4 linked regions of the Anolis sagrei genome follow. The protein of the gene in region 4 interacts with the protein of the main gene of each other region in a pairwise test. Links are inferred from orthologs where the notes say so. Each region holds a gene or a part of one and is shown on either strand. Other genes may lie near its edges.

What was found.
Region 1: the proteins of EWSR1 (region 4) and ATXN3 interact in binary tests that used the Homo sapiens proteins (3 or more experiments, as listed by UniProt). The link is inferred for Anolis sagrei from reciprocal best matches to the Homo sapiens genes EWSR1 and ATXN3.
Region 2: the proteins of EWSR1 (region 4) and MVK interact in a two-hybrid assay, tested with the Homo sapiens proteins (2 studies listed by BioGRID and IntAct). The two-hybrid records come from large-scale screens. The link is inferred for Anolis sagrei from reciprocal best matches to the Homo sapiens genes EWSR1 and MVK.
Region 3: the proteins of EWSR1 (region 4) and MAPK1IP1L interact in binary tests that used the Homo sapiens proteins (3 or more experiments, as listed by UniProt). The link is inferred for Anolis sagrei from reciprocal best matches to the Homo sapiens genes EWSR1 and MAPK1IP1L.

The regions. Positions count from the first base shown.
Region 1 is NC_090021.1:315,863,037-315,870,464, forward strand, and holds the start of ATXN3 (ataxin-3), read right to left. Parts: upstream 3,026-7,428; 5' UTR 2,957-3,025; coding exon 2,933-2,956; intron 1-2,932. UniProt on the Homo sapiens protein: Deubiquitinating enzyme involved in protein homeostasis maintenance, transcription, cytoskeleton regulation, myogenesis and degradation of misfolded chaperone substrates.
Region 2 is NC_090034.1:29,479,230-29,486,092, forward strand, and holds the start of MVK (mevalonate kinase), read right to left. Parts: upstream 3,011-6,863; 5' UTR 2,983-3,010; coding exon 2,839-2,982; exon of another isoform or gene 2,796-2,838; coding exon of another isoform or gene 2,793-2,795; intron 1-2,792. Other genes in the region: corrinoid adenosyltransferase MMAB, read left to right, coding at 3,708-3,811, 3,890-3,933, 5,557-5,650, 5,813-5,873, 6,201-6,273, 6,357-6,454. UniProt on the Homo sapiens protein: Catalyzes the phosphorylation of mevalonate to mevalonate 5-phosphate, a key step in isoprenoid and cholesterol biosynthesis.
Region 3 is NC_090021.1:337,014,122-337,021,831, reverse strand, and holds the start of MAPK1IP1L (MAPK-interacting and spindle-stabilizing protein-like), read left to right. Parts: upstream 1-4,696; 5' UTR 4,697-4,798; intron 4,799-7,710.
Region 4 is NC_090034.1:48,576,968-48,583,810, reverse strand, and holds the start of EWSR1 (RNA-binding protein EWS), read right to left. Parts: upstream 3,024-6,843; 5' UTR 2,902-3,023; coding exon 2,889-2,901; intron 1-2,888. Other genes in the region: RHBDD3 (rhomboid domain-containing protein 3), read left to right, coding at 3,637-3,650, 4,497-4,654, 5,422-5,805, 6,377-6,539, 6,628-6,843. UniProt on the Homo sapiens protein: Binds to ssRNA containing the consensus sequence 5'-AGGUAA-3'. Might normally function as a transcriptional repressor. EWS-fusion-proteins (EFPS) may play a role in the tumorigenic process.

The sequences.
Region 1 (7,428 bases), on a different chromosome or scaffold from region 4:
TCCCGACCTGGCCAAATCCTGCAAAAATGTCCTTGGAAGCACTTTTTTCCTGCTAGTAATCATACGTTGTCCCCCGGATCTGCTATCCTGACAGTTTACATTGCTCCCTCAACCAGTGTTTTTAAATTTTTAATTCTTTGCAACTGGCCCTGCCCACTGTGATTAATTTTCTGTGTTCAAGTGTTCTGATTTTATATTGTTTGATGTGTATATTTGTATTGATTTTGTATGTTATTTTTTCTGTTGTATATTGCTTTATTGTACTACTAGCCATCCCCTGACATGCGTTACTGTGGCCCACATGGGGGTTCTGTGTGGGAGGTTTGGCCCAATTCTATCGTTGGTGGGGTTCAGAATGCTCTGTAATTTTACGTGAACTATAAATCCCAGCAACTACAACTCCCAAATGTCAAGATTCTATTTTCCCCAAACTCCACCAGTGTTCACATTTGGCCATATTGAGTATTCGTGGAGAGTTTGGTCCTGATCCATCATTGTTTGAGTCCACAGTGATCTCTGGATGTAGGTGAACTACAACTCCAAAGTGGAATCCTCGACATGCGAGTGTGGAGAAGAGCAAACTACAGACTACCTGCTGCAATGCAACCTGAGAGCCCTGCCACATGCACAATGGAGGACCTCCTTGCGGCAACACCATAGGCACTCCAAGTGGCCAGATACTGGTCAAAGGACATTTCATTAACTACCAAGCTTGCAAACTTTGTTTTTTATCTATTTGTTTTGTTAAAAATGTAATACAAATGTCTGGTTGCTCCTGACACGATAAATAAATAAATAACTCCAAAACCAAAGGACGCTGCCCACCAAACCCTTCCAGTATTTCCTGTTGGTCATGGGAGAACTGTGTGCCAAGTTTGGTTCAATTCCAACGTTGGTGGGGTTCAGAATGCTCTTTGATTTTAGGTGAACTATAAATCCAAGCAACTACAACTCCCAAGTGACAAAATCAGTTTTTTTGAGTGAAGGACATACATTGGGTTGTTAGGTGTCTTGTGTCCAAATTGGATGTCAATTCATCCAGTGGATTTTGAGTTCTGATAATCCCACAAACAAACATTACATTTTTATTTAAATAGACTAGCCGTCCCCTGCCACGCGTTGCTGTGGCCCAGTCTGGTAATCTGGAAAATAAAGTAATGTGAAAGTGTGGGTTTCTAATATATGTAATTTCTTGTTGTTTCTTTGTCAGTGTTGATGTGTGGATGGTCTGGTTTGCCTACTCTGGAATATGGAACATAATTGTCCTTCTTTAGGGGTCCCTGTCAAATCTATGATCTCTGTGTGTGTGTGAATCATATCTATCTATCTATATTTATGCCTGGATAGCTCTTTGTCAGAAGGGCTTTGATTATGTATTCTTGCCCTGGTGAAGGGAGTTTAACTCGATGGCCTTAAGTATATTCTGTTGGTCATGGGGGTTCTGTGTGGGAAGTTTGCCCCAATTCTGTCATTGGTGGGGTTCAGAATGCTCTTTGATTGTAGGTGAACTATAAATCCCAGTAACTATAACTGCCAAATGTCAAGGTCTATTTCCCTCAAACTCCATCTGTGTTCATATTTGGGCATATGGAATATTCGTGCCAAATTTGGTCCAGATCCATCATTGTTTGAGTCCGCAGTGCTCTCTGGATGTAGGTGAACTACAAGTCCCAAACTCAATATCAATGCTCACCAAACCCTTCCAGTATTTTCTGTTGGTCATGGGAGTCCTGTGTGCCATATTTGGTCCAATTCAATCACTGGTGGAGTTCAGAATGGTCTTTGATTGTAGGTGAACTATAAATCCCAGCAACTACAACTCCCAAATGATAAAATCATTTTTTTTTTTTTGAGTGAAGGACATACATTGGGTTGTTAGGTGTATGCTGTCCAAATTTGGTGTCAATTGGCCCACTGGTTTTTGAGTTCTGTTAATCCCACAAACAAATATTACATTTTTATTTATGTAGATTTCTATCCTGCCCTTCTCCTCCTGAAGGCGAACTCAGGTGAACTATAAATCCCAGCAACTACAACTCCCAAATGACAAAATCAAAAAAATTTGAGTGAAGGACATACACTGGGTTGTTGGGTGTCTTGTGTCCAAACTGGGTGTCAATTCGTCCAGTGGTTTTTGAGTTCTGTTAATCCCACAAACAAACATTACATTTTTATTTATATAGATTGGACTTGGCCTCATGTAAACCACCCCAGGTCCCCTTGGGGAGATGGTGGCCGGGTATAAATACAGTTTATTATTATTATTCCTCATGATTCAGCTCATGTTCTTTGTATCCAGCAGGTATTCAAGTCACCATCCACCCCACAATTACCTGTCTAATTACTTTTCACTTCTAACGCTGCGATTCTATGATTGTAAGAGTGATATCATGACAGATGTCAGTGAAGTGGAGCAAGCAGGTGGACCAGTAGCAGAAGCTCCCATGCCAGGGTTGTGATTAAGTGTCTGACAAAACAGGGCTGAGCCCACACACCCTCCTCCTCCTCCTCCTCCATGTTGAGACTCATACTTCCCTATTTGGGACTCACTGCCACCAGCAAGAACTCCACCCATTTCTACAATGTAGATCAGGCATGGGCCAAGTTGGGCCCCCCAGGTGCTTTGGACTACAACTCCCACAATTCCTAACAGCCGTAGGCTGTTAGGAATTGTGGGAGTTGTAGTCCAAAACACCTGGGGGGCCCAACTTGGCCCATGCCTGATGTAGATACAGCTTTCCCTCCTTCCTCACAACATTAACTTCGGTCCCCGAGTAGGAGGCTTCCCCGGAAGGCCTCCAGCTCTCTGCCTCAACTTCCAGCGGGAGCGACAAGCCCTCCTTCCTTCCTTCCTTCTTCCGAGAAGACAAGGAATTGGCTTCTCCCGCCTCCCTGCCGGATCCCGCGTGGCCCCTCCAAGGCGCCCACTCACCCTCTCGTGAAAGATGGCCTCCATGTTTATTTGTCTCCCCACCGACACCAGCCTCCGCGCCACGTGACGGAGAGTCAGCCAATCGCAACAGGCTCCGTCCCTTCGACCAATCACCGCCGCTTCGTCATTCGAGGCTGGGCTTTACCTCACCCCGCAACCTATCTATGAGCTCAACCCATACGTCAAAGAGAGGATGCTAAGGAGAGCGTGCTCTGTTTTACCCACACTTCCGGTTCCAATTGACAACATTTATTTTATATATTTAATTCATGCCCTATCCCGAGCTCTGAAGATCACCTGGGAAGGAATCCCACTGGAGCATGGCAGCGCACCCAAATACCTGGGAGTCACTCTGGACCGTGCCCTGACCTACAAGAAGCACTGCCTGAACATCAAGCAAAAAGTGGGTGCTAGAAACAATATCATACGAAACCTGACTGGCACAACCTGGGGATCACAACCAGATACAGTGAAGACATCTGCCCTTGCGCTATGCCACTCTGCTGCTGAGTATGCATGCCCGGTGTGGAACACATCTCACCACGCTAAAACAGTGGATGTGGCTCTTAATGAGACATGCCGCATCATCACAGGGTGTCTGCGCCCTACACCACTGGAGAAATTACACAGTCTAGCCGGTCAAAGCCATGGTATTCCCTGTAGTAACCTACGGATGTGAGAGCTGGACCTTAGGGAAGGCTGAGCGAAGGAAGATCGATGCTTTTGAGCTGTGGGGTTGGAGGAAAGTGCTGAGAGTGCCTTGGACTGCGAGAAGATCCAACCAGTCCATCCTCCAGGAAATAAAGCCCGACTGCTCATTGGAGGGAAGGAGACAAAGTTGAAGTACTTTGGCCACATCATGAGGAGACAGCAAAGCCTAGAGAAGACAATTATGCTGGGGAAAGTGGAAGGCAAAAAGAAGAGGGGCCGACCAAGGGCAAGATGGATGGATGGCATCCTTGAAGTGACTGGACTGACCTTGAAGGAGCTGGGGGTGGTGACGGCCAACAGGGAGCTCTGGCGTGGGCTGGTCCATGAGGTCACGAAGAGTCGGATACGACTGAACGAATGAACAACAAAAGCCGGTATAGCAACCACCTGACATCCGTCGGGAAGTAGCAGCCAATAGTGAAAGGACCAAGGCAGTGACATCTCCAGCCCATCCCTTGTTTGGGTATCAGCCAGCACGTCAGCGACTTAAATCAAGAAATAGTTTTCTCAGTTCTACAGAGACACTCGCTGGAACACCCCAGCAAGCAAGAGTCCAAAAGTGGCAGGTTCAAACCCAGAACCTCAATCAATGGCTGATACCAAATGAGAGACTCCCCCCTGGGCACACAGAAGACTGGGCGACTTGGAAGGCACTGAACAGACTACACTCTGGCACCACGAGATGCAGAGCCCACCTCAAGAAATGGGGCTACAAAGCGGAATCCACGACATGTGAGTGTGGAGAAGAGCAAACCACTGACCACCTGCTGCAAAGCAACCTGAGCCTTGCCACATGCACGATGGAGGACCTTTTTGCGGCAACACCAGAGGCACTCCAAGTGGCCAGATACTGGTCAAAGGACATTTAATCAGCTACCAAGTTTGCAAAATTTGTGTGTTTTTTTAATGTTTGTTTGTTTTCTTCTGTTAGAAATGTAATACAATGTTCTGGTTGCGGATGACACGATAAATAAATAAATATGGTGTATTGTTTATAGTCTATTGCTTGATGTTTTTGATTTGCTTTATAATGTTATGTGTATTGTTATGTTGTTGTCTTTTATGAACCCACGCGTTCCCTTCGTTCATCCGGAGAGGCCCTGCTCGCGATCCCACCTGTGTCACAGGCGCGTTTGGTGGGGACGAGGGACAGGGCCTTTTCTGTGGTAGCCCCCCGACTTTGGAACACCCTCCCCAAGGACATCAGACAAGCCCCTACACTGGCAGTCTTTAGGAAGAGCTTGAAGACCTGGCTGTTCCGGTGTGCCTTTCCAGAATAGGAAACTCCAGCAATATGTCCCAGAAGCACTTTATCAGAGAGTTAAGATTGTCTGCACATTGCACTTACCCTAAAATCCTACATGTTACCTGTCATACTCAGCACCTTTTAATCTGTACCCATTACAATCGGCCCAGCCCTAGTTTTTAATTGTGTTATGGTGTATTGTTTATCGTCTATTGCTTGATGTTTTTGATTTGCTTTATAATGTTATGTGTATTGTTATGTTGTTGTCTTTTGAGGCCTCTGCCTATGTAAGCCGCATCGAGTCCTTTGGGAGATGCTAGCGGGGTACAAATAAAGTTAATAATAATAATAATAAATATGTAATTTCTTTATGCTTGTGGGTAAACAGTATTGCTTGCTGTTTCTTTGTCAATGTTGATGTGGAGAGTGTCTGGTTTGCCTACTCTGGAATATGCAACATATCTTTAAGGGTCTCTTTAAAATCTATGATACTATATCTGTGTGTGTGTCAATCATATCTATCTATCTGTATGGCTGGATGGCTCTTTGTCAAGAGAGCTCTGATTGAATTTTCTTGCAGTGAAGAGTTGGACTGGATGGCCTTAAATATTTTCTGTTGGTCATGGAGGTTCTGTGTGGGAAATTTGCCCCAATTCTGTCGTTTGTGGGGTTCAGAATGCTCTTTGATTGTAGGTGAACTATAAATCCCAGTAACTACAAATCCCAAATTTCAAGGTCTATTTCCCCCAAACTCCATCTGTGTTCATATTTGGCCATATGAAATATTTGGGTCAAGTTTGGTCCAGATCCATTTGGGTCAAGTTTGGTCCAGATTTGAATCCACAGTGCTCTCTGGATGTAGGTGAACTACAACTCCCAAACTCAAGGTCAATGTCCACCAAACTCTTCTAGTGTTTTCTTTTGGTTATGGGAGTCCTGTGTGCCAAGTTTGGTTCAATGCCATAATTGGTGGAGTTCAGAATGCTCTTTGATTGTAGGTGAACTTTAAATCCCAGCAACTACAACTCCCAAATGACAAAATCAAAAAATTTTGAGTCAAGGACATACATTGGGTTGTTAGGTGTATGCTGTCCAAATTTGGTGTCAATTGGCCCACTGGTTTTTGAGTTCTGTTAATCCCACAAACGAACATTACATTTTTATTTATATAGATTTCTATCCTGCCCTTCTCCCCCTGAAGGGGGATTCAGGGCGGCCTCACATAAGCATCATGTGATGCTGTCAGCATATAACAATAAGGAATACAGTAAAAATCATTAATTCTGCAGGAGGCAGCAACCGGATTTTAAGTGGATTTTTTTCTCTAGTATGATGAGGCCCCCGGACTTCAACCCACACAATTCCCAACAGCCTATTGTCTATTAGGAATTGTGGGAGTTGAAATCCAAAACAACGGGAGTGCCCAAGTTTGGCCATTCCTTATTTACATTGTCGAATTAATGCATGATTTCTTTTCCTACTGCCTTCTACTTTACTAGGCACAATTGTCTTTTCTAATGAGTCATGTCTTCTCATGATACGTCCAAAGTACAAGTTTAAGTCTAGTCATTTGCTTTCTAGGGAGCGATCAAGTTTGCTTTGCTCCAAGACCCATTTATTTGTCTTTTTGGCAGTCACAGAACTCTTCTTTGGCATGACATTTCAAATGAGTAGACATAGGCTTTCCTCACTGTTCAGCTTTTACAATCATATACAGAAGAAAATACAATGGTAAGGACAAAGATTACAAAACACATCATCCTCCTTTCCTAAATGCCGAAGGAATAAGGGACAGATTAGAATACCTCCTTCATTATGTGTTTTTTTTCCTTTTTGAAATGAAATTTTAGTAATGGTTAATTAGGTCTTCAAAGCTCCATTATGCTTCAGAGATACTCATCTGGGTAATAATAATAATAATAATAACAACAACAACAATAACACTTTATTTATATTCTACTCTTATCTCCCTGAAGGGACTCAGGGTGGATTCCAAACAAAAAATGCAAACGTCCAGTGCCCTATTTCTGGTATTCCTGATATCTGCAGTGTTTTCTTCTAGCAAACAAATGAGTTTTAAAAGCACTAAGAAATTTTAAAAAGCTGACAAAGTTTTAGAGGTGTATATTTTCCCCTCTCACTGATTTATATTCCTATGTAGAATGCCTTGTAAAACAAATGTATAACTAAAGCTATTTATATTTCCACTGCCAGCACTAAATAGATATATTTTAATGCATTTGTTTGTTAATATGCAGCAAAGTATAAAGTTTTGGGAGAGAGAATTTCAAAACAAAACATCCAAATACTTTTTAGGCTGGTTGTCATCTTCTTTTTATTTAAAGGTGGAAAAAAGATCTCATGTGTATGTCCCCAGAGAAGAAATTCCAGAAATACAAACTTTAGAATTTTACTCTAAAGAAAAATGAATGCAATGACATTCATTCATAACTGGAAAAAATGTTATGTGTTTCTTCTTAAAAGTAACTTCTTAAGCTCCTGCTAAAGTCATGAATTTAATAGATGGCCCGGGACTAAC
Region 2 (6,863 bases), about 19 Mb from region 4:
GTTGGTGCACAAGTTTTAGTTGTGCAAATGCTCCCCTGGCCACTGCCGAGACCTGTGGTTTCAGGCTCCACAACGAATCTAGGAGGACTCCTAAGCTGTGAACCTGTGCCTTCAGACAGAGTGTAACCATTCTCCCATTGTCATGGACCGACCATCGGTTTTAGACTAATCGCAGCATCCAACCTCTGTAGGGGTGGTGGACCAATCAAGATAGTCCACCTCAGGAGACTTATGGATCTGGATGGACTCCTGATTTCTCTTGGGACTCTTCCTGTCATGGCAGTAGACAATCCTGGCTAAGCCTTTTTAACACCAAGGTAGCCAGGGCGGTGGACACGATCTCCTTGCCATCATACAGACCCAACCCAGCTCCTTGGTTCACTGAGGAGCTGGCTATGATGAAGTGATTGAGATGGAGACTAGAGTGCTTTTGGCGGAAAACTCTGAGCATGTCTGATCAATCACGGGCTAGAGTAGGGGTCCTCAAACTAAGGCCCGGGGGCCGGATGCGGCCCTCCAAGGTCATTTACCCGGCCCTTGCTCAAGATCAACCTAAATCTATAAGGACTTGAAAGCACACAACTACGACAACAATTCTATCTCACCAGCCAAAGCTCCTCATGCAGGGACATGAGAGAAGCCTCCAACAAGGATGATAAAACATCAAATCATCCAGGCGTCCCCTGGGCAACGTCCTTGCAGACGGCCAGTTCTCTCACACCAGAAGCGACTTGCAGTTTCTCAAGTCACTCCTGACATGACCAAAAAAAAGCTAAAAGCAGGCCCACACTTCCCATTTAAATACTAATAAATTTATATTTGTTAAAATTGTTCTTCATTTTAATTATTGTGTTGTTTTTAAGTGGGTTTTGCATTACAAATAAGATATGTGCAGTGTGCATTGGAATTCATTCGTTGTTTTTTTTTCAATTATAATCCGGCTCTCCAACAGTTTGAGGGACTGTGACCCGGCCCTCTGTTTAAAAAGTTTGAGGACCCCTGGGCTAGAGCCTCATGTAAGGCCTACTCTGTGGCATTGAGGGCAGCCAGAAAGGCTTTTTTGGCTGCCCACATTGCAACTAACAGACCAGCTGAGTTGTTTTGGGTGGTTGGGGAACTCTTTCATCCTTGAAAGTAGGAGGGGACCCCCAACCACTTGACAGCTCAATGTGGCGAGTTTGCTCATCATTTTGCAGACAAAGTCGCCCAGATACGTTATGACTTTGACACCAGTTTTAGTGCAGAGCCAAGTGATGTAACTGAGGGACCTGTCTGTCCAGTTTTGTTGGGTTTGTTTCAGCTTGTGCAGACTGATGATGTGGATAAGATCTTGGGAGCGGCGAGAGCAACCACATGTGCTCTAGATCCTTGCCCTTTTTGGCTTATCAAACTTGCCAGTTGGGGATTAGTTGAGTGGTTTGCAAGGATTATGAATCCCTTGTTGGATCAAGGACAAATTCCATCTTGCCTAAAACAGACCAATCCTGAAGAAGACATCATTATTGAATACCCATTGGCCAATTTCTAATCTCCCCTTCTTGGTTGTGGAGTGAGGGATGGCTTCTCAGCTCCAGGGATTCTTGGATGAAACTGATCCATTACAGTCTGGTTTCAGGCCTGGTCATGGTATGGAGACTGCTTTGATCATCTTGTGGATGACCTCTGTAGAGAGCTGGACAGGGGAAGTGTGTCCTTGTTGATTCTCTTGGACATCTCAGCGGCTTTCGATACCATCGACCATGGTCTACTTCTGGACCGGCTCTCTGGGATGGGTCTTGGGGAAAATGCTTTGCAGTGGCTCCGGTCCTTCCTGGAGGATCACACCCAGTTGGTGAAGCTGGGGGACACCTACTCGGGCCCTTGGCCATTGACCTGTGGGGTCCCGCAAGGTTCTATTCTCTCCCCCATGCTTTTTAACATCTACATGAAACTGCTGGGAGATGTCATCCAGAATTTTGGAGTTTGGTGCCATCTCTATGCAGATGACACTCAACTCTACTACTCCGTTGTGATGGACTGGATGTTTAAATCAAATATGTTTTCCATCTATAACTCTTTGGGTCAAAAGCTCTTCTGGACTGGATGAGGGCTAACAAGCTGAAGCTTCATCCTAACCAGACAGAAGTCCTCCTGGTAAGTTGTGAGGGCTGATGGGAGTATAGGGTGGCAACCTGTGCTTGACGGGGCCACACTCCCTCTGAGGACACAGGTCTGCAGTCTGGGGGTCCTCCTGGACTCAGTGTTGACACTTGATGCTGAGGTGTTGCCGGTGGCCGGGAGGGCCTTTGCACAGTTAAAGCTTGTGCGCCAGCTGCGACCGTACCTTGAGAAGCCTGACTTGGCCATGGTGGTCCATGCCTTAGTTACCTCCAGATTGGATTACTGCAATGCACTCTACGTGGGGCTGCCTTTGAAGACAGCCCAGAAATTGCAAATGGTACAAAGGTTGGCGGCCAGGTTGCTAACTGGAGCGATTTATAGGGAGCGGACAACCCTCCCATTAAATATTTAATAAAATAATAAAATAAAAATATTAAGTAAAATAATAAATATTACATAAAATAAAATAATAAAAATAAAATATTTAAATGGAAGGAAATATAAATAATAATACAATTATAAATATTAAATAAAATAATGACATAAAATGTATTAATATTAAGGAAAATAATAATGAAATATTAATTAAAAGATAAATAATACAACATAATAAAAATAAATAACGAAAATTAGATTATATAATTAAATACAAATATTAAATATCACAATTAAATACGAAATATTATGAATACCATATATCTACAAAATGAAATATTGAATGTAGAATATAATCTCTACTTTTCCGTGCACGACGGCGTGTTCTCCGTGCAGAATGACTTTCCCCGGCGCGGAGAGCACGAGCTGCCTCTTCTTCCGCATGGCCGCCTCTTCTTCACCGCCGGCACACTCCTCTCGCCTGACGCTTTCACCTGAAGGTTCCATTGGGGCGTGGCCAAGCCTCAGGCTGTGCGCGCCGCCCAATAACAGTGAGGAGCGACTCCTCTGCTTTCCCCTCTCGGCCAATCATGCGTGAGGGGGCGTAGCCAGAGGACAAAAAGCACGCCCTCTGTTGCCTAAATGACGTCTCTCGACCAATCAGGCGGCAAGTAGGCGTGGCTTAGCTTCTGAGGGGAAAACACAACATGCCCTCTGTTTCCTAACAAAACCATTTCGACCCATGACGCAATATGTAGGCACGGCCAAAAAAATCCATGCCCTCTCTGTGTTGCCTAATAGCCGTCTCTCGGCCAATCAGGCGGCTGGTAGGCGTGGCTTGGCTTCTGAGGGTAAAGCACAAAAGTACGCCCTCTCCTTGAGGTTCCCAATGAACCTCTCTCGACCAATCAACCGTGGCTATACAAAGAGTCCCGCCTCTTCTTTTATCTCGACCAATAGAAATTCGAGTCTCTGTCATCTCGACCAATCGAGCAGCAGCCAAGAGTGGCTTTGCTTCCGAAAACTCCGGCTTCTCGTTTTATCTTAATGGGAGAGGGGCGCCACATTTACTTCTCGCGCCGATTGGCTGAGCGCCTTTCTTTTGGGCCTCACGCGACCAATGAGGCGATAGGTAGGCGTGGTTGGCGTCTCCCCATCAGGCCCGCCCCCTCACGGCGGCCCTGAAGGGACAAACTTTACCGGAAAAAAAGCGTTTCCACTCTTTCTCCGTAATGGCGAATCAGATGGGTCTTTTCGGAGTTCGCGTTTGTTTTAAAAGGGCGTTGGCGGCTCACTTTGGGATCAGGAACCGCCACGAGGGAGGGGAGAAGCCCAGGTAATGCGCGGGGGGGAGACAAGGCTGCCTGTGAACATGTGCAGAGAGCGCAATGACCCTTTCCCCCTGCTTTTGCAGGCAGGAAGCCAAACTCAAGATCTACACCAAGACAGGGGACACAGGTCAGGATTATATTATAGTTATATTATTTATTTATATGATTGTTTATCTGTATTATTTATGTCTACTTTTCTTTGTTTCTCCTTTATTTGCAATATTTTTATTATTTATATTATTATATATTTATATTATATGATTTATACTATTTATCTATCTATATATCAAATTTCTTATTCTTATATTCCTATTATTATTAATAATCTTATTTATTTGTATCCTTTATATTATTTATCTGTATGTCTACATATATACATATATAACTTAATATTTGTATTATTTATCATTGACCTATTCTTATTCATATTCCTATTTATATTCCCATTTATAATCTCTCTATCTATATAGGTGTGTGTGTATGTATAATTTTTAAAAATTATATTACTAGCTTGGGGGCCTGGCAATGCCTGGGTGATTTGAAAAAGGCATTGTTTGTTTTGGGAAGTTTGGTAATATCTCTGGATGTAGGGTGAACTACAACTTCCACGCAGGTGGCTCATTCCACCCCCACCCCCCCCCCCCCCCAAAAAAAAACCAAACCCCTCCAGTATGTTATCTTGGTCACCAGGGCTCTGTGTGCCAAGTTTGGTTCAGATCTGACGTCAGCTGCGTTCATTTTTCTCTAGATAACGATGAACTACAACTCCCAAAATCAAGGTCAAGCCCCCAAACCTCTGCAGTATGTTCAGTTGGTTGTGGGGCTTCTCTGTTCCAAGTTTGGTCCAGATCCATTGTCTTTGGGGGTCATCGTTTCTATAGATGGTGAACTATAACTCTCATAAATCAAGGTCAATTTTCCCCAAACATCTCAGTATGTTCTATTGGTAATGGAGAGTCTGTGTGCCAAGTTTGGTCCAGGTCTGTCATTTGTGAGGGGTCACAGTTTTCTGTGTATGTTGGAGGTTGAATCAGGTGAAGGTACTGCAAACCCAATCGTCTATAGTCCATTATCCCTCAAACTGCACCAGGACGTGGGTCATGGGGGCTCTGTGTGCCAAGTTTGGTCCCAGTCCGTCATTCATGGGGGTCTCAGTGGCCTTTGGAAGTGAGTGAAGGTACTGCAAATCCCATCATCCGTGGTCCATCCTCCCCCAAACCACACTAGGACGTTAAGTGGGTTATGGGGGGTCTGTGTGCCAAGTTTGGTCCTGGTCCGTCATTCGTGGGGGTCTCAGTGCTCTCTGGAAGTGAGTGAAGGTACTGCAAATCCCATCATCCATGGCAAGTTTGGTCCACATCCATCTTTGGTTGGGTTCACAGTTCTCTCAGGATTTACGTAAACTACAACTGCTATAAATCATGGTGAATTATTCCCAAACCTCTTCTTCAATTGCTGATCAATTCCTGTTTGCTGTGTGTCATAGGAAAGGCACACCAATGGAGAGAGAAGGGAACACTGGGATGTGGCGCTTACTGTAACCCTGCAATTTACATTGCAATGGCCATTTGTGTCTCTTGAATGGTGGAGGTTACAGATGTTTGTGGAAACGGTAGCCTGTGTAATTACACCTCCTCCACATACACATTTTCAATTTTATTATGTGTATCGATTTTAATATTATTTATGTGCTTATTATGTTTACATTATTGTTGTTGTTTATGTTTATATTATTATTATTATTATTTAGGTTTTTCCAGCACATTTACTGGGGAACGGAGGCCAAAGGACGACTGGATATTTGATGCTTTGGGTACTTTGGACGAACTCAGTTCAGCCATTGGGTATTCTATTCAATCAATATAATATATAAATTAAAATAAATATAATATTTGCTATATATATTTATTTTAATATAATGTTTCAGTAAATATATTTTAAGAATACATAAAAATAAACATCCCTAGCAGGATAAAAATAAATAAATAATAATAATTTTAATTTAGATTGAGTTCTGAATTTGGGAAGGAAGGAGGTCACTCTTTTGCAGAAGAAGAACTTCATAAGGTGAGTTTATTAATATTTTTCCATATTATTTTAAGATTTTCCTAAATAATGAAATAATTTTCACATTATTTTATTTTATTGAATTTATTTATATTATTTTGCATATTTATTTTTCAAATTATATTTCAGATTAATTCATTAATTTATTTTGGTGTTGTTTTCATTTAGATTTTGTTTATATTGTTCAGATTCTTTTTATGTTTTTTCTAGTTGTTTTTCAGACTATATTTCAGATTTTTTCATTTTTTAAGATTAATTTCTGGGTTTGGTATTTTAAAAGATTTTTTCATATTATTTTTCATATTATATAAGTCTATATCTGTATAGGTTCAATGCAGGCTGCAAGATGCTGGTGCCAACATCGCGACCCCTGTCTCGTCGGCCCGAGAGGCTCATTTAAGTAATTAAAATAATTAAATATAACAATTAAATTAAAATAATAATAATAACGGGAATTGATTAGGGATAAATTACCTCCCCCAGAACGAACTAGCTTTGACGAAAAGCCGGTTTCAGAGCTGGAAAAATGGATCGATGGATACACTGATCGGCTTCCTCCCCTGCAGTCATTCATTTTGCCGGTATGTTTTTAATTTTATATTAATTATATGTATTATATTTTATTATTTTAATTTACTGTATGTTATGTTATATTTATTTCTAAACTAGTTGGGTCCCCAGCATTACCTGGTTTATTTGAAAAAGGATTTTTTAAATTGTACAAAATGCATTCGGTTGTAGGTGAACTACAACTCACATCATGCCAGGTTAACCCCGAAAAAACTCCATCAGTACTTAAAGTTTGCTATGTTGGGCAAGTTTGCTTTCTGTATGCATCATGGGTGGGGTTCAGTGTGCTCTCTGGCTGTAGGATAAACTACAACTCCCACTATGGTGAGTCAGTCCTCTCAAATCCCTCCAGTAGGTTGATTTAGTCATGGGGGTTTTGTATGCCAAGTTTAGTCCAAGTCCATCATTAGTGGAGGTCAC
Region 3 (7,710 bases), on a different chromosome or scaffold from region 4:
CCCCTTGATTAGCATTGCCTGGAGCAATCTTTAAACAGAAGCTTGATGGCCATCTGTCGGGGGTGCTTTGAATGCAATTTTCCTGTTTCTTGGCAGATTGGGGTTGGACTGGATGGCCCATGAGGTCTCTTCCAACTCTATGATTCTAAGGACATTGTAAATTCCCAAGATTCAATGGCATTAAACTATGGTGGCTAGGGTAGTATCAAACTGCATTAATTCTACTGTGTGGATGCACACCAAAACAACAACCTGAGCACCAAACCACACTCCCCTTTGCAAGCCTTGCGTGCGAAGCAGTTTGTGAGAGCTTTTCCTTTTAAAATTTATCAGTGAAGCGTCTATCCAATTCCTCAAGGGAGACCAGCTGCTATTTCACAAATGCCGCTCTGCTTCGGCATAATCTCTTCCTCCTCTGTTCCAACATGAGGAACTAGCAAGCATTACATTAATAGCCCTGGGAGTCGGAAGAATTAGGCAATTGCCATGGAATTCGCTGGGTTTGTCCTTGTCGTCATAAGTATCCCTAAGGACAGAAGTGGAGATGGGGGGAGGCATGGGAGGATGTTTCCAATTATTTATATAATGTTTGCAAAGCCATGTTTGGAGAACACACAGAAGAGAATCAAGGAAGGTTAACAGCAAAATAGTTAAGATGATCGTGCCTGTTTTTAAGGTTACTGTTGCGCGGTCACGCGCTGGGCCTATAGCAGTTGGCTTTTGAACAGGACGTGCTCTTTGTGCCCAGCGGGAAGCCGGGGTGCCTCGAGTGAGAGGCCCTAAGGATTTTCCTATACAAAAGTCTTTAGAAGCTTAAAAAGTTTATAGAATCATAGAATCAAAGAGTTGGAAGAGACCTCCTGGGCCATCCAGTCCAACCCCATTCTGCCAAGAAGCAGGAATATTGCATTCAAATCACCCCTGACAGATGGCCATCCAGCCTCTGTTTAAAAGCTTCCAAAGAAGGAGCCTCCACCACACTCCGGGGCAGAGAATTCCACTGCTGAACGGCTCTCACAGTCAGGAAGCTCTTCTTCATGTTCATAGAATCATAGAATCAAAGAGTTGGAAGAGACCTCCTGGGCCATCCAGTCCAACCCCATTCTGCCAAGAAGCAGGAATATTGCATTCAAATCACCCCTGACAGATGGCCATCCAGCCTCTGTTTAAAAGCTTCCAAAGAAGGAGCCTCCACCACACTCCGGGGCAGAGAGTTCTACTGCTGAATGGCTCTCACAGTCAGGAAGTTCTTCCTAATGTTCAGATGGAATCTCCTCTCTTGTAGTTTGAAGCCATTGTTCCATTGCGTCCTAGTCTCCAGGGAAGCAGAAAACAAGCTTGCTCCCTCCTCCCTGTGGCTTCCTCTCACAGATTTATACATGGCTATCATATCCCCTCTCAGCCTTCTCTTCTTCAGGCTAAACATGCCCAGCTCCTTAAGTCGCTCCTCATAGGGCTTGTTCTCCAGACCTTTTATCATTTTAGTCGCTCTCCTCTGGACACATTCCAGCTTGTCAATATCTCTCTTGAATTGTGGTGCCCAGAATTGGACACAATATTCCAGGTGTGGTCTAACCACAGCAGAATAGAGGGGTAGCATTACTTCCCTAGATCTAGACACTAGGCTCCTATTGATGCAGGCCAAAATCCCATTGGCTTTTTTTGCCACCACATCATATTGTTGGCTCATGTTTAACAAAGTTCTTTATCATTTCTTACGTCTTCAACAAGCAATCAAATACTTCTTGGATCTTCAACAAATTAAACAAATGCTTCTTAACTTGTCTACAAAGGACAGGCAACTTGCTTGGAGAACTATTTCTTTCTTTAACAAGGAAAACCCTTTTTGACCCTCCCGGGCAATCTGCTTTCTAGGTTCTGCTGGTGTGGGCTTCTACTCCCGGCTCCAATTGCTTCTGGTTACCCGAGTAGACCTACCAGTCAAGACTTTGTAGATTTTCCAGCTGGAGTCCTTTTGGATTTTCTCCATGAATGGTGTAGATCAGTCTTCTTCTTCTTAGGCGATCCCTCGTTTTCCGAGGAGGATTGTCTTCCAGTGTTATTGTGGGTCCGTATGTGGCTGTGGAGCCCTATTCTTGCTCTGCATCTTCTTCCGCAGTGAGGGCATCGGTTTCCAGGTGGAAGGCGGTCTTGGTCGGGGTTGGCTTGATGCGCTTTCCTCTTGGCATGTTTCTCTCTTTTGCCCTCCATTCATGCCTCTTCAAATTCTGCAGCACTGCTGGTCACAGCTGACCTCCAGCTGGAGCGGTCAAGGACCAGGGCTTCCCAGTTCTCAGTGTCTATGCCAGACACTATAGTAACAATTTATTTATTTATTTATTTATTTGGTTTACTTTTACCCCGCCCTTCTCACCCCGAAGGGGACTCAGGGCGGCTTACATATCCAAGGCACAATTCGATGCCCGTAACATACAACAATAATAAAACACAATAGCACAAAATAGCAAACAATAACAATACATCATATCTATAACCAATAAAGCCCATAAAAATTTCATACAAACCGATACAAACCAATTGCTCCTTATTGCCGGTCAATATTTGCTACCTCATAGTTCAGAGTTTCATTCCACACTTATCAGTCCTGCCGGTCCTATTTTTCTGGTTGTCCTTACTTGGTTGGCAGATTGCCCGAAGGCCTGGTCCCACAACCACGTCTTTACCTTCCTCCTGAAGGACAGGAGTGATGTCAATGTCCTGATATCCGCCGGGAGTGAGTTCCACAGGTGAGGGACCACCACTGAGAAGGCCCTGCTCCTTGTCCCCACCAGCCTCACTTGGGAAAGTGGTGGGGTCAAGAGCAGGGCCCCCTCTGATGTTATTAGATTCCGTGGTGGGACGTAGAGGGAGATACGTTCGGACAGATACACTGGACCGGAACCATAGAGGGTTTTGTAGGTTAAGACCAGCACCTTGAATTGGGCTCGGGACTGAAACGGCAGCCAGTGGAGCTGACACATCAGAGGGGTGGTATGCTCTCTGTATGTCGCTCCAGTGAGCAGCCTGGCTGCCGCTCGCTGGACCAGTTGAAGTTTCCGAACCGTCTTCAAGGGCAACCCCACGTAGAGTCCCTTCTTAAGACCATTACAACTGCCAACAATGATGGATCAGGACCACAATTTACACAGAGACCCAGCATGACCCACTCTACATCTGGTGCGGTTAGGAAAAAATTGTCAATGGATGATGGGACTTGCAATCACTTCACTCACTTCCTGAGACCACTGACTGATCAAGACCAAATTTGGCACACAGAGTCCCCATGACCCACTCTACATCCTGGTGCACTTTCGAGGAGGACAGACCATGGATGATGGGACTTCAAGTACCTCCACTCCCCAAGACTGCTGCAACCCTCACCTAATGTCCGATCAAGACCAAACTTGGCACACAGAGCCCCCATGACCCACTCTACATCCTGCTGCAGTTTTGGAGGAGGACGGACAATGGATGATGTGACTTCCAGTACCTTCACTCACATTCTGAGACCTCTGCAAACCTCATGCAATGACTGATCAAGACCAAACTTGGCACACAGACCTCTCATGACCCACTTTACGTCCTGGTGTCATTTGGAAAAAAATGGAGATGGATGATGGGACTTGCAGTAACCTCACTCACTTTCTGAGACCACTGAGACCCTTGCCAATGACTAATCAAGACCAAACTTGGCACACGGAGCCCCAATGACCCACTCTACACCCTGGTGCAGTTTGAAGGACAGACCATGGATGATGGGACTTCCTTCCCAAGATTGCTGAAACCCTCATCTAATGACCGATCAAGACCAAACTTGGCACATACAGCCCCCATGACCCACCCTACATCCCGGTGCTGTTTGAAAGATGGACGATGGATGATGGGACTTGCAGTACGTTCACTCACTTCCTGAAACCATAGCGACACTCATTCAAAAACCAATAAAGACCAAACTTGTAACATAGAGCCCCCATGGCCAACTCAACATTCTGGTGAGGTTTGGGGAGTACAGACTATGGATGATGGGACTTCAAGTACCTCCACTCACTTCCCAAGACCTCTGCAACATTCATCTAATGACCGATCAAGTCCAAACTTGGCACACAAAACCCCCATGACCAACTCTCCATCCTGGAGCAGTTTGGAGGGGGATGGACCACAGATAATGGGACTCACAGTAACTTCACTAACTTCCTGAGACAACTGCGAGGCATATAAATAACTGATAAAGACCAACCTTGATACACAATTCCTTTCTCAAATAACCCGGGCAGCGCCGGGTCCCCAAGCTAGTATATAATATAATTCATCTAATATAATATAGGAAGATTGTATATTTAACATATATTGTAATATAGTAATAGTAATATTACTCCAGCAGCAAGATCTTTTTGAAAGTGCAGGTCCCATCTCCCACCAGCAGGGGCCGCTGTCGCCTCTGAAGCGGCTTGCCCATTCATGGACTGAAATTGGACGAGGATTCCGCTGAAAAGGGGGCGGGGCGGGGGCGGGGCTTGGATCATGTAAATGCAGGCTCCCTCTCACACCAGCAGGGGCCGCTGTCGCCTCTGAAGCGGCTTGCCCATTGATTGGACTGAAAAGGGGGCGTGGCTTGGATCACGTGATGCACTCTGCCCCGCTCTGCATGCTGCCAAGGCTCGCGGCGGGCGTCACGTGGTCAGGGGCTCCTCCTCTCTTCTCGCGAGAGCTGGGTCCATTTCCGCTTCCGCTTCCTTGCTTGTGAAGAAGAAGAAAAGAAGAAAGCGGAGGAGAAGGAGTCTCGCCCGTGTTCCTCACTGTGAGTCGTTAAGATGTAATATAAGGTTATATTAAGTGAATTATATGTATAATACTCCATTATATGTGACTATACAATATGACTAGATGATATAATACTAGATGAATTATATTGTATATAATATTAATTAATAATTAATATATTATATTGTACATAATATTAATATATATTAAAATATCATTTACATTATTTATGACTATACAATATATGATATAATACTAGATGAATTATATATAGTATTAATTAATAGTTAATATATTGTACATAATATTAATATATATTAAAATATCATATAAGTTATATAATATATATTATTACTATATTTTATTGTATTATATATTAAATATTATATTAGATTAATTATGTATTATACTGTTACTATATTATGTTACATTATATATTAATATACAATATTCCTATATTATATTAATTGAATTATATTATATATAATATTAATTAATAATTAATATATTATATTATACATAATATTAATATATTAAAATATCATAAGTTATATAATATATATTATTACTATATTTTATTGTATTATATATTAAATATTATATTATATGCATTATATATAATATCACTATTACTATATTATATTGCATTATGTATTAATATACAATATTCCTATATGATATTAGATGAATTATATTATATATAATATTAATTAATAATTAATATATTATTCACAATATTAATATGTAATTCTATATTAGATAAATTGTATAATATGTATTATTACTATATTATATTGTATTATATATTAATTAATATATTAGATGACTTATATATAATATTAATAATATATTATACATAATATTAATATATAATACTATATTAGATGAATTATAGATAATATTACTATTACTGTATTATATTACATTATTTATTAATATACAATATTCCTATTAGATGAATTATACTATATATAATATTAATTAATAATTAATATAGTATACATAATATTAATATGTAATTGTATATTAGATAAATTGTATAATATACATTATTACTATATTATATTGTATTATTTATTTATTAATATTATATTAGATGAATTATATAAAATATTACTATTATTATATTATATTACATTACATCTTAATATACAATATTATTATATTATATTAATTGTATTATATATAATATTAATATATTACACATAATATTAATATGTAATTCTATATTAGATAAATTGTATAATATATATTATTACTATATTATATTGTATTATATATTAATTAATATTATATTAGATGAATTATATATAATATTAAAATTACTATTATATTACATTATATCTTAATATACAATATTACTATATTATATTAGATGAATTCTATAATACATATAATGTAATATATATTGTATATACATATAATATTTATATTACATGTAATATTATTAATAATATTACAATATAATGGTATAGTACAATATAGTAATATTTAATACTGATATTGTACTATGCTAATAATACCATATATTGTATATGTGTATATCTTGTAAGCCGCTCTCAGTCCCCTTCGGGGTGAGAAGGGTGGCATAGAAATGTCATGTTATATATATATATATATATGTGTGTGTGTGTGTGTGTATACACACACACACACACATATACATATATATATATACATAATATTAATGTATAATACTATATTAGATGAATTATATATATATTACTGTTACTATATTATATTACATTATATAGGAATATACAACATTGCTATATTATATTAAATGAATTATATATATTAGGATATAATATTAGTATATAATATTAGATGAAGCCACGAAGATTCCGTGAGTGACATTGGGTCATAGAATAATAGGGTTGGAAGGGATCCCAAAGGCTATCTAGTCCAACCCCCTTCTTTCTGTGGCAATCAACCCTCCCTCTCACCACCCACCCCCAACAGATGCCCATCCAGCCCCTGTTTAATTTCAACAAGTACAAAGGTAAGATATGACACCTAGGCAGGAAAGAATGAAATGTGAAGATACAGAATGAGTGATGCCTGGCTTGACAATAGAACATGTGAAAAAAGATCTTGGAGTCTCCGTGGGCAACAAGCTGAACATGAGCCAAGAGTGTCATGCAGCAGCTCAAAAAGCCAATGCAGTTCTAGGATAGTGTCTAGATCAAGGAAAGTCATGGTGCTCCTCTATTATATTCTGCTTTAGTTAGACCTCTTTGCCTGGGATACTGTGTCCAATTCTGGACCCCACAGTTCAAAAGAGATATTGACTTTAAGCTGAAAGGAATCCAGAGAAAGGGATAATCGAAGGTCTGGAGAACATGAAAAACCTCTCTTAGAGAGCTGGGTCTGTTGAGAGGAAACCCAGAAGAGAAGGTTGAGAGGAGACATGGTAGCCATGTATAAATATGTGAAATGATGTCATAAGGAAGAGAGAACAGGCTTGTTTTCTGCTTCCTTTGAGACTAGGACTCAATGGAGAGGAGATTCCACCTGAACATTAGGAAGAACTTCCTAACTGTGATAACTGTTCAACAGAGGAACATTCTGTCTTGGAATTCAGAGGAGGCTTTTAAACAGAGGTTGGACAGCTATCTCTCAAGGGTGCTTGGTTGTGCTTTTCCTGCATGGTAGGGAGTTGGACTGGTTGGCCCACGAGGTCTCTTCCAGTTCTATTATTCTGAGGAGCTGGGGATGTTTAGCTTTGAAAAGAGGTGCCATGACAGCCATATTTCAGTATTTGAAAGGATGTCACATTGAGGAGGGAGCAAGCTTGTTTTCTGCTTCTCTGGAGATTAGGACACAATGGAGCAATGGATTTAAATGCCAGAAAAGGAGATTTCATGTAAACGTGTGAAAGAATATATTGGCAATAAGAGCTTTTTTGATAGTAGAATATGCTTCTGCCTGGGAGCCCAGTGGAATCAC
Region 4 (6,843 bases):
AATTACCAATAATAATCATCATCAATGGAAAAAAGGAATAATTATCCAAAAGATATTTTTGAAAGGTTAAAGAAATAAAATTACCATTAATCACAATAAATAATGCTTTTAAAAGATTCCAAAAATAAAATGACCAATAATAACGAAAAATTGTTTAAAATGGAATTTCTACTGAGGAAAAAAAAGATTCCTGATTCTCTCTCTATATATACAATATAATAATATATAGAAATAATAACATTGTAATGTAATAATACTAGCATATTATATATATTAATGTGATATGTTATATATACTACAATTTATGATATAGTACAATATGTTATAGAATGCTAACAGTATAATATACTGGTAGTGCATTAAATATATTGTGGTGGAATAATATAGTATAATAATATAATTTTCTATTATATATTATTAAAATATTAGTCTAATAGTATAGCACAATATAATATATAATATTAATATTGTGCTATGCTAATAATATATAGAACTATACTTATAACTAATTCCTTAACTTATTGAAGAGCTACGTATTTATATATTTTATGTTTTTTTATATGTTTATATTTTATATAGATTGTAACAGCTTTAATGCTTAATGGGGTTATTTATGAGGCCTGACTGAGTTATATGTTGTATCTTTTAGCCAATGTTGTTCAATTGTTTTATTTTTAACTGTTTGCTTTAATTGTTTTAATTTGTTATTTGCACATGGCATTGAATGTTTACCATTTTTCGTTTTTGGAAGTTGCCTTGAGTCCCTTCCAGGGAGAGAGGGCACGTTAAAAAGAAGTTGTTGTTATATAATATTATGAGTCCCCTTGGGGAGATCAAGTATGGTATATCAAGTTTTATTATTACATAATAAGAAGAATGTAATATGGTAACACCAATATATTAAATAAAATTACTACTGATTATATATAATAATGTATCACAGAATCAGAGAAGTGGAAGAGACCTCGTGGGCCATCCAGTCCAACCCCATGCCAAGAAGCAGGAAAATCACATTCACAGCCCACCCCCTAGAGAAGGCCATTCAGCCTCCACAACGGGGCAGAGAGTTCCACTGCTGCTCTCAGTTACGAAGTTCTTCCTAATATTCAGGTGTAATCTCCTTTCTTTCCTGTAGTTTGAAGCCATTGTTCTTCATCCTAGTCCCCAGGGCAGCAAAAAACAAGCTTGCTCCTACTTCACTATTACTTCCCTTCACATCTTTTTTCATAGCCCCCATCATGTCTCCCTCATGCTTCTCTTCTCCAGGCTAAACATGCCCAGCTCTTAAAGTCGCTCCTCACAGGGCTTGTTCTCCAGACCCTTGATCATTTTAGTTGCCCTCCTATGGACACATTCCAGCTTGTCAACATATCTCTTAAATTGTGGTGCCCAGTATTGGACAAGGTGTGATTCCAGGTGTGGTCTGCCCAAGGAAGAATAGAAGGTTGGCATGACTTCCATGGATATAGACACTATACTCTTATTTATGCAGGCCAAAATCCCATTGACTTAAGCCACTGCATCACATTGTTGGCTCATGTTCCCTTTCCTCCCCACACACGTGCTGCTCTCGAGCCATGCGTCTCCCATTCTGTATCTTTGCACTTCATTTTTTCTACTTAACTGGAGTATCTTGCATTTGTCCCTGTTGAACTTCATTTTGTTCGTTCTGGCCAATCATCTCTCTAGTCCAGTGGTTCTCAACCTGGGGTCCCCAGATGTTTTTGGCCTACAACTCTCAGAAATCACAGCCAGTTTACCAGCTGTTAGGATTTCTGAGAGTTGAAGGCAAAAAAAACATCTGGGGACCCCATGTTGAGAACCACTGCTCTAGTCTGTGAAGATTGTTTTGAATTCTGCTCCTGTCTTCTGGAGTACTGGCTCTCCCTCTCAATTTGGTGTCGTCTGCAAACTTGATAATTGTGCCTTCTAACCCTTCATTTAAGTCATTAATAAGGATGTTGAACAGAACCGAGCCCAGGACGGAACCCTGCTTGTGGCATTCTACTCCTCACTCCTTTCCAGAATGAAGAGGAAGCATTAGGGAGAATCACCGCCTGGGCGCGTTCACTTAACCAATTACAGATCCACCTAACTGTAGTTTTGATAATATTATACTAGTTTTGATAATTATAATACTGTTTAATTGTAGCATATTTGAAGTTGTCATGTTTTTGATTGAGAGCCACTTTGAGTCTCCATAGTGAGAGATACAGCAAAATATAAATCAATTTTTATTTTATGCTAATAATATGGTCTATATATAATATTTGTATTATACATAGACTACATTATTAGCATAAAATAAAAATTGATTGATTTATATTTTGCTGTATCTCTCACTATGGAGACTCAAAGTGGCTCACAATCAAAAACATGACAACTTCAAATATAATATATTATATTATGATTAATAATTATTATTAGTATATTATAATGTAATACTATAATATTAATCATAATATAATATAGACTGAACGAATAAACAACAAACTAATATTGCCCTATGCTAATAGTAGATTATATAGACAAATATTGAGAGTAATAGTGATAAAGCGGGATATAAATCGATCAAATCAAATAAAAAATTTTAAGTGTTATTTAAAATAATAAAAAACGCGTTTCAGAGAGAGATAAATAGGAAATAGATGGCAGTACATCAACTAGAAGGTGATTTTTTACCACCTCTTCCTGGGCCTTCCCTGAGGAACCATTTTGTCCTCCATTTTCCTCCCAAAACCGTTTTCTTTTCCCTCAAAAGCGACCCCTCTCTTCGTTTGTCCGCCTCCGCCAATATTCCCACACCAGTTTCCCTTAAATTCCCCTCAAGAGGGGCCCATTTCCCTCCTTTTCCCACTTCACGCGGCCCTCATTCGAGCCAGCCTCACCCGTCGACGCCATCTTCCCTCCTCCTCCTTCTTCTTCTTCTCAGCCGCTTGAGCCCTGCCCCTTTCCAACGGGCTCTATGCCGCGCATGCGCAAAGGAGCCCCACTCGCTTCTTCCTCCGCCGCCTCTTTCTTCACCCGCTTTTTCTCTCTTTGGCCTCGCCCGCCTTCCTTATATAGAAACCCAATCTGGGACTGTTCCAATGGAAAGGAAAGGGGTGTTAATCGCTTTTCCCTCCTTTGTACCACTTTGGCATCCCCCGTCCTTCTTGTCGAAGCTTTTCGTTCTCAGAGTCTTCCAATGCAATGGAAGAGGGATTCGTTCCAGAGAGGAAATTGAATCACTTCCCCCGCCCCTTATCCGCTTTGGTATCTCCCGCCCTTGTATAAGCTTTTGCACTTCCAACGAAAGGGTACAGTGAAGTGAGGGGGAAATGAGGCTAGAGCTTGAGTGATGGGAGGAGTCTAAGCCTAAGCCCCTCCCACTGTGCAGCTTTATTCACCCCCTTTTCCGACTTCGACTCTTCCGACCTTCTGTTAGGAAGCTATGGCACGGGACTCTTCCAATGAAAGGGAAAAGGGGGCGGGAGGGAGCAAATGAAGGCCAATGTAGAAGAACGCCACGTTCTTCCCGCCCCCTTATTCTCCTTGGTATCCCCTGCTCTTCTTATTCAACGATGAGTCTTGGACTCTTCCAATGAAGGGAAATAGGGGTGCGAAGACAGCAAAGGCTTGCATAGAGGGGAGGAAATGGTTCTGTCCAGGTGAGTTTGAAAAGCAGGACTGGGCATGATAGCTCACAATCAAAAACATTACAACTTCAAATATACAACAATAAAACAGTATACCATGATATATTATTGTATATTATCAGTATTACTTATTTTTATTATTAGTATTGGTAAATTACAATATTATTGTTATATAATAATAAAACATACTGCCCTATCTCCCCAAGGGGACTCATTATAATATTATTAATAATATTATATGTATATATTATATTATGAGTATAGCACAATATTAGCATTATAAATTATTATACCACTAGACTGCAATATTATTAGTAATATATAATAAACAATTATATTATTATATATTATTATCTTGTACTATAGTATTATGCCACAATGTATATAATACACTAGCAGTATATTATACTATTATATATATTATATATTATATATATTATACAATTATATAATACATTGTACTCAGGGGCGGCTCAACCCATTACGCAAAGTAAGCATTTGCAGTATAGTTGATGTTGCTCAGGGGCGCTCTTGGAGGAAAATAGACCTTGACATATGTGAGTTGTAGTTACTGGGATGTATAGTTCACCTATAATCAAAGAGCATTCTGAACTCCACCAATAATGGAATTGAACCAAATATGGCACACAGAACTCCCACGACAAACAGAAAATATATATCAGTGATTGGTTGGGGGGGGGGGGGGCAAAATACAGTTTGCTTACCATTGAAAATTATCTAGGGCCGCCTCTGATTGTACTATATCATAAGTTGTAATAATAAGAACAATACTTTATTTTTCACCTGTCCTTTCTCCCCAAAGGGACTCTTTCAATCACAGGACTTGTTGCTTTGCAGGGGAATGCGGATACGACGGCTTTGGCGTGGACAATGGGACTTGCAGTGGCCCCCTGTTGCTTCCTCCAGCCTCATGGGACTTCTCTTCCTTGTTTGGTGGATGGACATTGAGGAGGGTTTGGCCTTAGTGCCCGGCCTGCTCACAAATCCCTTGCAAGGTAGGCTAGCCATAGAATCGCACTGGCTTTTGTTGGCCCTTCTGAGCGACCCTATGGCATGCTTCAGCCAGAAAATAAGGAAAGCATTCCCCATGATTGCGCAAAAAAGGGTATCATGCTATCGCCCACCACAGTTTCTGCTATTGCCCATTCACATTTCTGCTATTTTACACTACCATGCGCGGCAACTATATTGTGCGATTGGACACTTACCTATATCAAGCTAATATGCAATTGCATATTATGAAATTGGAAAAGCAACATATTGTTTACATGTAAAATAATGATATTACAACATTGAGCAATAGCCAATATGCCATTTTGTGCAGGAATATTGTGCTATCGCGCAACAGCTATATTATGCCATTGGACCCTAACTATTTCTCATTTGCACTGTAACTATTGGGCTATTCCACAAATAACCTTATTATTCTGTACCACAATACCTATATCCTGCTATTGTGCATCAAATACTGTGCCCATTTGTAATTCGCAAAAACTGTATTATGCTTCTGAGCAATAGCAATACTCCTGTCCTGCTATTACACTGTTGCTCACACACAGTATCCCTTTATTGCGGGAGAACAGAATTCCACTATTGTGAAAAATACCCAGGTCCGTGATTGCGTGAGAATTGTATCCCACAGAGGATCCTGTTATGCACCGTGTTTTTTTGGGAAGGACTCCCTTTTTGTTAGTTGTCACCTTCTGCCCATATTTTGACGGATTTGAGTGCGCAATAACCTGTGTCAATTTCTTCCCTGCAGCTTTCCGCCTCGTAACATACTGCCTCTGCCATTCAGACATCTCTCTCCTGTCAGTCAGCCTTCTCTTCTTCCCGCTCTTTGGATGGCGGCCAGAATTGCGCATGGGCACCATACACTTCCTCTACACCGCTGTCCTTGGGGCGGTCATCTCAGCCTTGATGTACCTCCTTCTGGCCGGACTTTGGGGCGGTCACTCAAATGCTGTAGTCAGTGGCTACACTCCGGTCCACTTGGTCTTCCTGGGTTCTCAGCAGTGGCGGAAGGGGCTCTCTGGCTGGATGTCCACCGCCTTGCTGGCCGGAGCACTGGTGGGGCTGACCCAGGCCCTTTCACCCCAGTCATCCTTCCTCCTCCATATCTGTGGCCTCTTGACTGGTTTGGCGTGTATCCTTGAATCCTAAACTGGCCAAAATATAGATTTGGGTGATGTTTAGTCCAAAGGTACAGGTCAAAAATGAGTATAGATACCTTCAAATGACTTCTCGGGAGCATGGGAGAGGAAGACCTCCAAATGACTGGTCTGCTGAGCCAATAGTGGTGTCTTCTCCCCCCTTCAAAACCTCACTCTCGCCTTAGATCAAATTTAGCCAAAGGTCAACATTCAAAAGTGACCTCTAGCCCAAAGTAACCCAAGTGTAGCCCTTCTGGTTTCTTTCTGGCTCCAATGACTAGCAGTCCAATAGTGAAAGAGTCCTTCCAAAAAGATATCCTTGGGTCATGTTTAGCCAAAGGCCAGGGGTCAAAATTGGCCACCAATTACCCCAAATGACCTACAGGGAGCGTAAGGAAGGTACAGGCCTTTTGTCCAAAGTAGCCACAATGTAGTCCACGTCCAGTAGCTCAAAACCAAAGGGAGTCTCTCTCTCAAAAAAAATACTGTCGTTGGGAAACATTAGTCAAAGGTCAGAAGTCAAAAATAGCAACAAATCTGGTTTTAATCCTTGACATATCTCAGACCGTGCTGGGATTTTCTTTCTCCTTGAACCATCGGACAGGTTCTTAGAAAGGATACATAGCAGGATTCAAATCCAAATCCCTCCGTTCCTTCACTTCGTCCGGCCCCCAGAAGCCAGAAGCCTTCCGGTTACGAACCCCATGGCAGCTGCTAAAACACAAGAGTAAGCCTATGTTACCCACTTTGATTCCTTTTCAGTATGAACATTGACTTACCCCTAGACCAGACCTCACATTCATTTTCCTTCCCAGGATTTACGCAGCATCCAGTATTCAATTCCCAGAGCTTTTCCCAAGTGAATCCCCATCACAGACAAGAGGAAGTCCTTCCTTGTCCCCTGCTGTACCTTTCTCTGCCTTCCAGGAAGCCCTAATAGAGGAGGAGTTGCTCCAAGCCGGCATCCAGGCCTCCCTGGAAGACATGGTCAAGGAAGAGGTCACACTTTCCAAATCATCCGTCTCGTCCCT